Linked DNA regions of Danio rerio. The protein of the gene in region 1 purifies or fractionates together with the protein of each later gene. This does not show direct contact. Links are inferred from orthologs where the notes say so. Each region holds a gene or a part of one and is shown in the gene's direction. Other genes may lie near its edges.

What was found.
Region 2: the proteins of ttc4 (region 1) and hgh1 purify together in Homo sapiens (co-immunoprecipitation; 4 studies listed by BioGRID and IntAct, counting the BioPlex papers as one, with this or other methods). This does not show direct contact. The link is inferred for Danio rerio from reciprocal best matches to the Homo sapiens genes TTC4 and HGH1.
Region 3: the proteins of ttc4 (region 1) and edrf1 purify together in Homo sapiens (affinity purification with mass spectrometry; 3 studies listed by BioGRID and IntAct, counting the BioPlex papers as one, with this or other methods). This does not show direct contact. The link is inferred for Danio rerio from reciprocal best matches to the Homo sapiens genes TTC4 and EDRF1.

The regions. Positions count from the first base shown.
Region 1 is NC_133181.1:33,194,982-33,199,358, reverse strand, and holds the start of ttc4 (tetratricopeptide repeat protein 4), read left to right. Parts: upstream 1-1,554; 5' UTR 1,555-1,748; coding exon 1,749-1,859; intron 1,860-2,015; coding exon 2,016-2,133; intron 2,134-2,787; coding exon 2,788-2,949; intron 2,950-3,034; coding exon 3,035-3,112; intron 3,113-3,890; coding exon 3,891-4,015; intron 4,016-4,377. Other genes in the region: pars2 (probable proline--tRNA ligase, mitochondrial), read left to right, coding at 1-407.
Region 2 is NC_133194.1:3,293,529-3,297,183, forward strand, and holds part of hgh1 (protein HGH1 homolog), read left to right. Parts: intron 1-899; coding exon 900-1,000; intron 1,001-1,099; coding exon 1,100-1,198; intron 1,199-3,655.
Region 3 is NC_133192.1:9,925,806-9,929,460, forward strand, and holds part of edrf1 (erythroid differentiation-related factor 1), read left to right. Parts: intron 1-1,826; coding exon 1,827-2,027; intron 2,028-3,655. UniProt on the Homo sapiens protein: Transcription factor involved in erythroid differentiation. Involved in transcriptional activation of the globin gene.

The DNA.
Region 1 (4,377 bases):
GACTTGGTGTCACTCGAATACTAGCAGCTTCTATAGAGGTGATGTCCACAGAGGATGCCATTCGCTGGCCTGGATTGATAGCTCCCTATCAAGTGTGTGTCCTGCCACCTAAAAAGGGAAGTAAAGCACATGAAGCCACACTGAAGGCTGAGGAACTGGCTCAAAGCTTGGGAAATAGTCTTCCAAATTTGAAAGGTGAGGTGGTACTGGATGACAGGACTCAAATGACCATTGGGAAACGACTGAAGGATGCTAAAATTCTGGGGTATCCATTTGTGGTGGTGGTGGGCCAGACGGCTCTAGATGATCTGGCCAGCTTTGAGGTGGTTTGTCAGCAAAGTGGAGAGACTCTCTTTTTGAGTAAAGATGGGCTTGTTGATCTTTTAAGTACGGTTGAAACTATCTAATATATGTGTACATTTATCAGGCTAGGTGATGGTGAAGAGAAAAAGAGTGTGATGTATAAATATTATAAGTGTTATAACAAGAAAATGTTGATTATTAAAGTGGTCTGTTTGTAACAATTTTGTAATGTGTTCTTGCTTCTGTAGAGCAATTAAGATTCATAGTGGAATTTATTGTTATTTAAAGCACTGGTAAGTGATAAAAGAAAAAAGGCCATGAAGACTATGAACAATGGCAATGATTGCCCAAGATTGTCAGTGCAAACTTGCTTTAAAAAAAACCTGCCCGAAAACCTGATAGATGATGTAATTTGCTCATTAGCATAATCATAACTTTGTCTAATATTTGTCATATATTATTGTTTCTAAAGGAAAATTAAAGCTTTTTACCTGCAGGGAGGACATTGCTAGATATTATATTTTTAATAAGGAACTAAAGGTTATCTAAAAAAGCTTAAAAAAATTATAATGATAATAAAAAATAAAATAAAAAAACATGATTCAAAAAATGCGACTGAAATGGTAAGATTCACCAAAAATATTTATGCCTATTTTTTATTTTTTATTTTTTATTTATTTCTGTAGGAAACATGCAACATTTAATCTTCATTCATTCATTTTCATTTTGGTTTAGTCCCTTTATTCATCAGGAGTTGCCACATCGGAGTGAACCAACTTATAATCAGTGTGAGTTTAATATAATCTGCATAAAACTTGGTGTGTTCTCTTTTACAGGTGTGCTTCTTATTAATATAATTTAAAAAAATAATAATTAGTTGGCTCTGATTTTGATAGCCAGAAAATAGGTGAATACATGTTTATTTAAATTAATATTTGATGCGGTAAAACCACATCAGTTTCTATTATTCAGTTACTATATCAGGGTTTCTATAATTTAAATATTTAATTGTCAGTTCCCACAAATTTTCAAAAAGTTTAATTTTTTAAACTTCTTTTCTGACAGACATTCTTTTTTCTTTAATCATTTATTACTGTTTAAATTATTAAAGCTTAACTATCAGCAATTAATTAGGGACACTCAAAATCAAGAAAAATGCTAATTTATTTATTAATGCTTATTTATTTCAATTTTGTTACTGTATTGCTTTTCAGTTTTTGACTCCATACCAGCAGGTGGCGGTAACGCGTTATTGACGTGTGGAGAGCAGCAGAGAAACAGATGTTTGCTGAGAGCATGTGGATCTTTGCTACGGTTTGTACAGTTTTATCCTATTTTACGTTTAATGTTTAGTTCCTCTACAATTGCGATCTGAACGCGGTGACGTAGTGAGATACGTCAAGAACTACCTGGGATACACTTCAGAATAAATTTAAGGAGATAACATGGCTGCACCAACGCAAGGGGAAGACAGCGACGATGGCATGGACGAATTTATGGAGAAGTTTAAAACACAGAAATACCATAATGCGTTCAACGAAAGCAACTGGGAGGAGGTAAGACTTGCTGATTAGTTATAACAACACACTGACATTATCGTGTCATAATCGGTGAATATATTTTGACGTTAACGTGGTTAAAGCAGTAACATTGTATTTTATTATCAAATAGTCATGTATCCGATGTGTAAATAACCTTCTTAAATATTGCAGGAGTTTGAAAAAGTTCCCATGTTCATGAAGACAGCGCCAGAAAACATTGACCCAGAGAAACACCCTGATCTCGCCTGTATCCAGCATATTATCCACGATGATGACAGAACTCCTGAAGGTAACTGGAGCTTCTTCTGTTTTCCAATATTAATGAGTTCTTTATGGAAGAAATTACATGTCATGGTAGTTGACAAATAGGGATTTTTTTTTTTAATTAAAACCCTATTTTTGAAGATTAAATAGTTATGTTGTCTGTTTAAGAAAACTGTGGTCACAAACTCTTATCAGTTCTTTTAGTTTTTTTTTTTTTTCTTTACTGTTCTGTAAATAATTTCTGTAGGGGGACATAGCATAGTAAAGAAAAATAGCTCTTAATAATAATATACAAATAGTGTGAGAGTGATTTAACTTCACTGTTGGATACTTCTCTTCATATTGTGCACAGGACAACAAAATTAATTTTATAGTCATTCCAAAAATTCTGAGGCAAAAACTTTATGGGCTTTACTGGTGGCTTCACACATGACATTGAATAGGGTGATTCAACTAATTAAAGTTTTCTGTGTATTTACCTGATTTAAAATTCAGGTACAAATACAGCATTCAGTGTCACACTAGAGGATGTGAATTTCAGTAACAGAATGTATGTTTTTAGAATTATATGGAAGAAAAAAAATATTGTCATTTACAAAAATAACCACTTGAAAAATATAAATATAATATATATTATTTTATTTTATACAATATAATTGAACCTTTTCATTTATTCTAGAGAAAGCCAGAAGTCTCAAGGATGAGGGGAATGAATACTTCAAGGAGAAGAAGTACAAGAAAGCTGTTGTTTCCTACACAGAAGGATTGAAAACGAGCTGTGTGAATCCTGAACTCAATGCCGTTTTGTACACCAACCGTGCAGCTGCACATTTCCATTTAGGTAAAGTCAGTTTTCCCCTCACACATTTTGTATTATGTAGAATAATTTAGTTTTTCCTTCTGGTTTAATAACCTGATTCCTTTAGGAAATATGCGTTCGGCTTTAAATGATGCCACAGCTGCAAAAAAATTGAAGCCAGACCACAATAAAGCCATTATAAGAGGTGAGTTGTGTATATTTGTTTGTTTCAAGAAGAAAATAGCAAGTAGTTGTTTCTGATATTACATTATTTTGTGTAAAGAAAAAATGTGAATGTGCGAAGAGTCACTAAATCCAGCAGATAAGGTCTCTAGTAGTTTTCATCGTAAGTGGTTACCAAATTTCAAATGAGTGTGATCAGTAAATATACTCCACATGAAAAACATCTCAGGTTAAATGTTGTAAGATGAGTTTTAGTTTACTTTTTGTGAGAGAGAGTTGTACCATTTTGCTCACATGCAAAGGTAGTTCCTTGTGTTTTTTCCTTGCCTTTTTATTCACCTTATTCTCCACCTACTAGCCGGCGCAGCCATTTGAATCTTTTTTTGCTCAAGACTTCCAGTCTCATTCACTTCCATTCATTTTTAGACATTAAAAACAGCTCGTTTGGCTGCTTGATGTTGCAAACTGATTTTTTCTTAATATATTAATCTATTTTATCTGTATATTAGTCTTGCATATACTTGTTTGTTGAGCAAGTAGTTTGACAATTTTTTGCCGTTTTTTTTTATTAATTTCTCCTATTTGCATCTCAATCGGACGTTCTAAAACAATCACAAAAACTAGCACACTTCCACCACTTGCTTTTATAGTTTTGAGTGCATTCTATTATATAGAATCTTGTTGTTTATCATGTATTATTTCAAAAATGATTATCAATGCATTATTTTGTGTAAAAAAATAAATAATGCACACAAAGTGTATAATGTTTATCTATCATTTTGACATGTTTTTGTATGTAGGAGCACAGTGCTTGCTGGAGCTGCGTAATTACGCTGGAGCGTTACAGTGGTGTGATGAAGGTCTAAAGTTGTTTCCCACTGACAAGAAACTACAGGAGCTGAGAGCCACAGCTGATAAACAGAAGGTAGAAATTTAAAGGGATAGTTCAAAATGAAAACTGTCTTTTACTCAGTCATTAGAGTTTCTTTATGTTGTTGAACACAAAATATGTTTAAAGGGATAGTATTTCTTTTAAAGGGATAGTTTATAAAAAGAATCATTTCAGTTTGATCAAATTTACTCACTCGCAGGGATGTGATGACATTTTTTAAAAAAAGGGTTACGATTTGTCGTGGCCGAGTGTTAAACATCCATGCTTTATTCATTATTTTGTTGCCTTGTAATATAATTTAATATACATTACTTCATTGTCTGATTATGTAATAAAACAGGTGAATAACTTGTTTAATCCAGATATTTTAAACAAACTTTTTGAAAATTAAAATG
Region 2 (3,655 bases), on another chromosome or scaffold:
AAATATGTTATTTAGTAACCAAGATATGGCTTTACCATTTAGTAAAATGTAATATTGTAGTAAAAAACATGGTAATAATATGTGTTTTGTTTCTTAATATAATTATACCATGCGTTTGACCAATTACTACATCAAAAGCAGGATATTGTCATGGTATAGGACCATAAAGCAAACAAAATGCCATGGTGTTAAAACCATGACTTTTAGTTGTACATGCCCAAAAACATGGTATTTTAAGAAGTGTAATAAAAATTATGATATTACAATAATAAATATCAAAAAGCATAGTATTATCATGGTATAGGTCCATAAAGAAAACAAAAAATCATGGTGTCCCTACTGAAAAAAACAGCTTATACAGCCTGAGCTGGTTGGCTGGTTTTAGCTGGTTGACCAGCCTGGTTTTAGAGGGATTTTGGTCACTTCCTGGTTGGTTTCCAGCCATTTCTAGGTCTTAGATGGTCAAGCTGGGTTTAGCTGGTAATTTTCCAGCCTGGCCATCTAAGACCTAGAAATGGCTGGTTTAAGCTGGAAATAGCTGGTTTTGGCTGGGCTCCCTGCCTGGCTAGACTGGTCAAGCTGGTTTTAGCTGGTCAACTCCCAGCCTGACCAGCTAAGACCAGGCTGGAAATGGCTGGAAACCAGCCTGGAAGTGGCCAAAACCCCTCTAAAACCAGCCTGGTCGACCAGCTTAAACCAGCCAACCAGCCTAGGCTGGTTTGGGCTGTTTTTTCAGTAGGGGTGGGTCAAAAACATGACTTTTATGTAGTACATACCCAAAAAGATGGTATTATAATCATGGGATGAATTTATTACAGATTATTTACTTTTTTTTTTTTTACAGTCTACGAGTGTATCTAAGCCGGTGAAAGTTGATAGTCTCGTGTGTGTGTGTGCAGGTGTGTGATTCAGAGACTCCTGCCGTTCACACAGTATGAGGAGTCCATCACCAGACGAGGAGGGGTGGTGGGAACACTCAGAAACTGCTGTTTTGACTATGGTACATGTGTTCATTCACCAAACTTTATAATCTCTAGTGCCCAAAACGATATATTGTGCAGCAAAAATTCTAATCAAATATGATGTATTATCTTTACAGTCCATCATGAGTGGCTGCTCAGCGATGCTGTCGATATTTTACCGTTCCTTTTATTGCCATTGGCTGGACCAGAGGAGCTCTCAGAGGAGGAGAATGAAGGTGACGCTTTAAAAAAAATATATTATTATTATTTTTAATAGTGTTTTTGATGAAACGATGTACATTACAGTGCAGGTATTCAGAAGCAAGGGTAATTTAGTTTTGTTCCTTTTCCTTTTTTTTTAACCAGAAACTTAAGACAGAAACAAATGGACATAATCATTTATTCATTCATTCATTTTCCTTCATCCTAGTCTTTTATTTATCAGGGGTCACCACAGCGTAATGAACCGCCAACTATTCCGGCATATGTTTTACACAGCGAATGACCTTCCAGCTGCAACCCAGTACTGGGAAACACCCATTCACACACTCATACACTATGGCCAATTTAGTTCATCAATCCCCCTATAGCAGGGGTTCCCAAACTTTTCAGCCCGCGACCCCCAAAATAACAATATCAGTGATTCGCGACCCCCATTTTTCAAGGTGGTTACACTGTAAATATATAAACCTTGTAGACACAACTATAGGCATGTATAAACATGAGCACATTGACAACACATAAATGCAACAGTCTATTAACCATATATATTTTTTATATTCATTTATTAATTTATAATATAAAACGTAAAGGCTGATGACTGATTTTTATTTGTTTATAATAGATAATAATAATAATATAATAATAATTTTGTTTTTGTTTATTTGTATGTTGTTGTGTATTTAACACTACTATTATCCTCTGTGGGTTATGAGTAAAATATGGTCATCCAAAACTCAAATAAGTTTTATTAAACTATTTGGAAATCACCAAGCGACCCCTTGTCATTGTTACGCGACCCCCACTTTGAGAACCACTGCCCTATATTGCATGTGTTTGGACTGTGGGGGAAACCGGAGCACTCAGAGGAAACCCACAACAACACGGGGAGAACATGCAAACTCCACACTGAAATGCCAACCGGCCCAGCTGGGACTCGAACCAGCGACCGTCTTGCTGTGAGGCGACAGTGCTAACCACTGAGTCTTCTGCTTCACTCTGGTTTATCCAGTAGATGCCGCTGTTTGCTCATTTAGTTGTGCTTCAGCTTGAAGCTTTATTGTATTTCCACAGCATGTGAAGGGAAAATGGACCGAGCAGAGTGGAAATTCTGCCATTACAGCAGGAAGTTGTGAATTTGCGAAGCCAGAGATTTTTGTTAAAAGCGTGCGGTTTCATAAAAGCTGTTTGAGAAGTTTATATATAACATATTTTCCTCTTATTGCACCAGGCTGCTCTGACCAAAGCATTTGAAAAACACATTGTGAAAAGAGAGAGGAACCGTCCTAGTTAATAAGTGACCTTATGAGACCTTTATGAAGTGCTTGCGAAGCCTGTATCGCTGTAGCCTCAGACTAATATTATTACAGCATGTTTGGACTAGCGTGCGCAGCATAATTGGCAAATGGTCCTTGTTTTTATTGCTCGTTCTGAGATTTGAACAATCCCTTAAAGGAACAGTCCACCTTTATTTTAAAATAAATTCTCATTTTATAAGTCTCAGGGGGGAATGATGGCGCAGTGGTTAGCACTGTCGCCTCACAGCAAGAAGGTCGCTGGTTCGAGTCCCAGCTGGGCTAGTTGGCATTTCAGTGTGGAGTTTGCATGTTCTCCCCTTGTTGGTGAACGTTTCCTCTGGGTGCTCCAGTTTCCCCCACAGTCCAAACACATGCGCTATAGGGGAATTGAATGTATGGTGTAGTGTATGGGTGTTTCCCAGTACTGTGTTGCAGCTGGAAGGGCATCTGCTGTGTAAAACATATGCTGGATTAGTTGGCGGTTCATTCCACTGTGGCGTCCCCTGATAAATAAGGGACTAAGCAGAGGAAAATGAATGAATTTATAAGTATCCTAGAGTTAAATCGTTTTTAAATCCATTCAGCAGATTTCTTGTTCTAGCAGGGTCACTTTTAGCTTAGCTTAGCATAATGAGTTGATTTGGATATGACCATTAGCATTTCATTCAAAAATGTCCAAAAAAATAGTTGATAATTTTCCTATTTAAAGCTTTGAAATGTGATTTATTTTGTATTCAATGTTTGACTTAATCTCAACCGAAACATGAAGAGTAGGCGGGACATATAGTAGCTCCTCCCCCCTTAAAAAAACAACAACAGCCAATAGCGTTTTGTTTTATAACAGCTCTGCCAGTGAGAGTGGTTGAGCTCAAGCATGTCAAATGAAAAGCAAATGAGAAGTGTCTTAAAGGGGGCGGGGCATGACAGATACTAGAGAGCATTCGATTGGTCAGAAGATTTGAGGAGAAACTAAAGCATGGGGTGATGTCTAAAAAATCATTGATCCAGCTATGTTTATATCTTCTAAATGCTAATTTTGTCACAGCTTTTATAGCAAACTAGCTAATAGCTATCCTTAACACTAACACATTGATAATAACAAAAATTTTAATTCACAGGACATAGGATTATGACAAAGTTTTGCACAGACAAACATTGCTTGGTTGTAACTCTGCA
Region 3 (3,655 bases), on another chromosome or scaffold:
AACATCAATTGGGACTAACAAAACCCAGAAACAACTATCTAACTAATGCTGTGATGACTTAATATTTGTGCAATAATTCCAAAATGAATGTTGTATAATTATAAAATATTAATGATGACGATGATGACAATAATACTAATAATGAATTATATTTCTCATCATCATGCTGCCTTGAATGTGCTTTAATGTAAGTTATGCTATATAAAGTCCTGCTGTTACTTTATGAAAAATAAATTGATGGTTTGCATCAAACACAAATGAAGCATTGTAGTAAGAAATATTTGTTTTGTACTATTGTTTTTATATGCATGTCAATTTAATAAATAATAGTTCTGCTACAAAACAAACAAAATAATATAATAAATCATTCAATCCAATACTGAAAGCTGCAAAGCAGTCATCAGCAATTAAATAGAAAAATAATATACACCTCAAGAAAGAACAGACAAAAGATAGCAAGAAAAGTCTCACTTTTAAAAGTTTTGGTTTCGGTTTGTGTCGTTTTAATGCTCAGCTTCGTTACGCGCTGAATTACATTTTTCTGTGTTTGCGGAGAAGCATGCGAGTCAGCCGGCCCAATATGAGGAGGGCAGAGCAGGATTCTCCCGATGAACACCGGCGCTATACTGTTTTTTGTTATAACCCGCATCAGTTTAAACTCAGTAAAGGCAAGCTTCTTTGGAGATGGTGTTTTAGCGGACATTTGCGCTATTGCAGCCTGATCTCACGAGGAAACGTATGAAAAAGTTACGAATTGCCGTGAGATTGTGTTGGCTGACCACGCAGTGCATGCAACGCATCCAGATTCAGTGTACTTTTCACTGTTCAGCCGTTTGCATTCCCCGCGATCACAAAAGCTCCCTCCCTGTCATCTGACAGCGGAAAGTCTTGACTGATTGACAGCTAATATGAACCAATATAGCGGCAGGGAAGAGCGATTCAGCACGTTTTTAGAAAACAAAACAAAACAGGTCGCACTACAACCATTATATGCAGTCGCACGAATGCTCCCAATATATATTATGAGGTCGCATAGCTTAAATTTCGGGCGCATATGCGACCAAAATGGTCGCAATTTCGAGCCCTGCAGTATGCTAACAGGGAAACAAAAATAGCCCTACTTAGTCTTTCCTCCAGATCTCCTGCACCCTGTTTCTCAACCACGTTCCTGAAGGACCACCAGCTTTGCACATTTTCTATGTCACATTAACCAAACATCTGATTTAGATCCTCAGCTCATTAGCAAAGACGGAAAGACCGGTAATGGGTGTGATAGACAAAGGTGATATTCAAAACATGCAGTAGTAGTGGGTCCTCCAGGAACGTGTTTGAGAAAGACTGCTGTAAACTATTGCACTTACTCAGTTTTACCATCCTGGCACAGTTTTTTTTTTTTTTTTATCTCTGGTGGAATAGAAATGTTATGTATTTCAGTGCAACCATATAAATATAATTGATGCACAGTTTTAACTCGCATAAAACAAAACCAAACCTATGGCAAATTAAACGGTGCCCAATTCCACGAGATACCTGAGGACTTGGCAACCCTGAGCTTGAGTAATTGAGGCACAGACTGTAAAGGCTCCACCCTGTTATGAAAATGAGGCATGAGTAGCAGCTCATTTGCATTTAAAGAGACGCACAAAAAAATGGCTGATATTTTGAATAATTCACGATGTATTTTTGAGCTGAAATTTCACATAAGACACCTAAGGCTTGTAAGAAAGGTATAATATGACTCCTTTAAATGATGTTTTCAAAAGTGAGCAGATTATTTAAAGCTAAACCATTCAAACCTGATTTGTATATGCTTTGTTCCTTTGCAGATGCATACTGCTCCATTAGTGGCGGTCTCCACGCACAGGTGCTTCTTTTCCACTGCCAGTGTCTGTCTCTGTGTGGAGATGTTCAGCTCATGTTGGCCCAGAATGCCTCAAACAGAGCTGCGTATCTGGAGGAGTACAGCTATCAGACCAAAGATGACCAGGAGATCCTCCACTGCCTGCACCGCGAGAGCTCCTGCCAAGGTCTGTATGCAGAATTCCCACGCTCTTTCTGCTATGGAGAGATCATACGATGGTGTGATGGTCAGAGATGATGCATTATTCAATCAGTAGTTATTTAAAACGAATGTATCCCAGTTGCTACAAAATATTAAGCAGCTGTTTCAACATGGGTAATAATCAGAAATGTTTCCCAAGCACTAAATCAGCATATTAGATTCAGCCTTTACAAAAATAACTAGGGATGCGCTGAAATTAAAATTGACCAGAAACTGAAATATACTAAAAGTAAAATTTTAACAGGTAGTACTTATATTATGCATCCCAGGATCAGTTATCATTATTATTATTTTTTTTTGGTTTATTCAAACATAACCATAAATGACAGACTACTATGGTGTAATTGCACCGTAGCTTAACATGAACAGTTTGATACCACAGCCTATCTAAACAAGCTGCAATCAAACAATCAAGTTAAACTGGGTGCTTAGTTGAGACTAATGCAACAGGGATGTCATGGAAAGGACATTTTCACACAGTATATGTGCTCCGTTTTTAGATGTCTCTATTTCCCCCCTATCCACACTGAGATGGAGCAGCAGTGTTTTAGAATGAAAACGGCCTCTCCAGTGTTTCCAAATCGCTCCATTTTCGGTGCTCAAAAACTCTGGTGTAGTGTGGATGGATGGCGTAACCGTAGCAAAACTTATAAATTGACAGCACAGCTGGCATGTACCCCTTCCGCTAACCCTTTGCCCTTGAAACAGAGTGTGAAGGGGAAGGTCTTCAAATTTATTCAAGAATTTAATTACATTTTAAATTGACTGACGTCTGTAAATTACTTTGAAGTTATTATTTAGCAATAATACTTGAGAGTTGTGCCAGTATGTTAACAGGGAAACAAAAATAGCCATACCATAAATGACAGACTACTAATGTGTAATTGCACCGTAGCCTAGCATAAACAGTTTTTTTATTTTTACTTTGATACTACAGCCTATCTATATAAGCTGCAATCAAACAATCAAGTTAAACTGGGTGCTTACTTGAGACTAATGCAACAGGGATGTCATGGTAAGGACATTTTCACACAGTCTATGTGCTTGCATATTCGAAAGTCAAAGCAATCAAGAGTTTGTTGAATGGATAGCACTTTAATAACCGTTACAGCAAGAGTGAGGTAAGTGCTGGGGAGGGGAAAGGTGGAATAAACAGTTTCATAAAATTATGAAATTTAAAGTCTTTTTCAAATATGTCCTTGGTGCTGTATAATGGAGAGAAGATATTTGCCACACATTTTTAAATACGATAGTTCTTTTATCATAATATTTTTCTTGTTATTTTGAAAAAATACTAGTATTGTTTGTGTGCAATTTTAAAGTGCAATTTTTGAGGCTTAAAAGTCTAGTGAAGTGCTTTAAAATGTGCATATTTTATTCAATGTTTGACGTAATCTCAACTGAAAAATGAAAACAGGGTGGGACAGAGTAGCTCCTCTCCTTTAAAAACAGCCAATAGCATTTCGTTGGTGTTTTGTAGTTATTTGTTGAGATCAATTGACAAGTGTCTTGAAGGGGGCAGATCTTCATCAAGGATCTACCGCTGGATCCAATCTCACTATATTTGTTAAACGTGACATTTATTTCATCTTG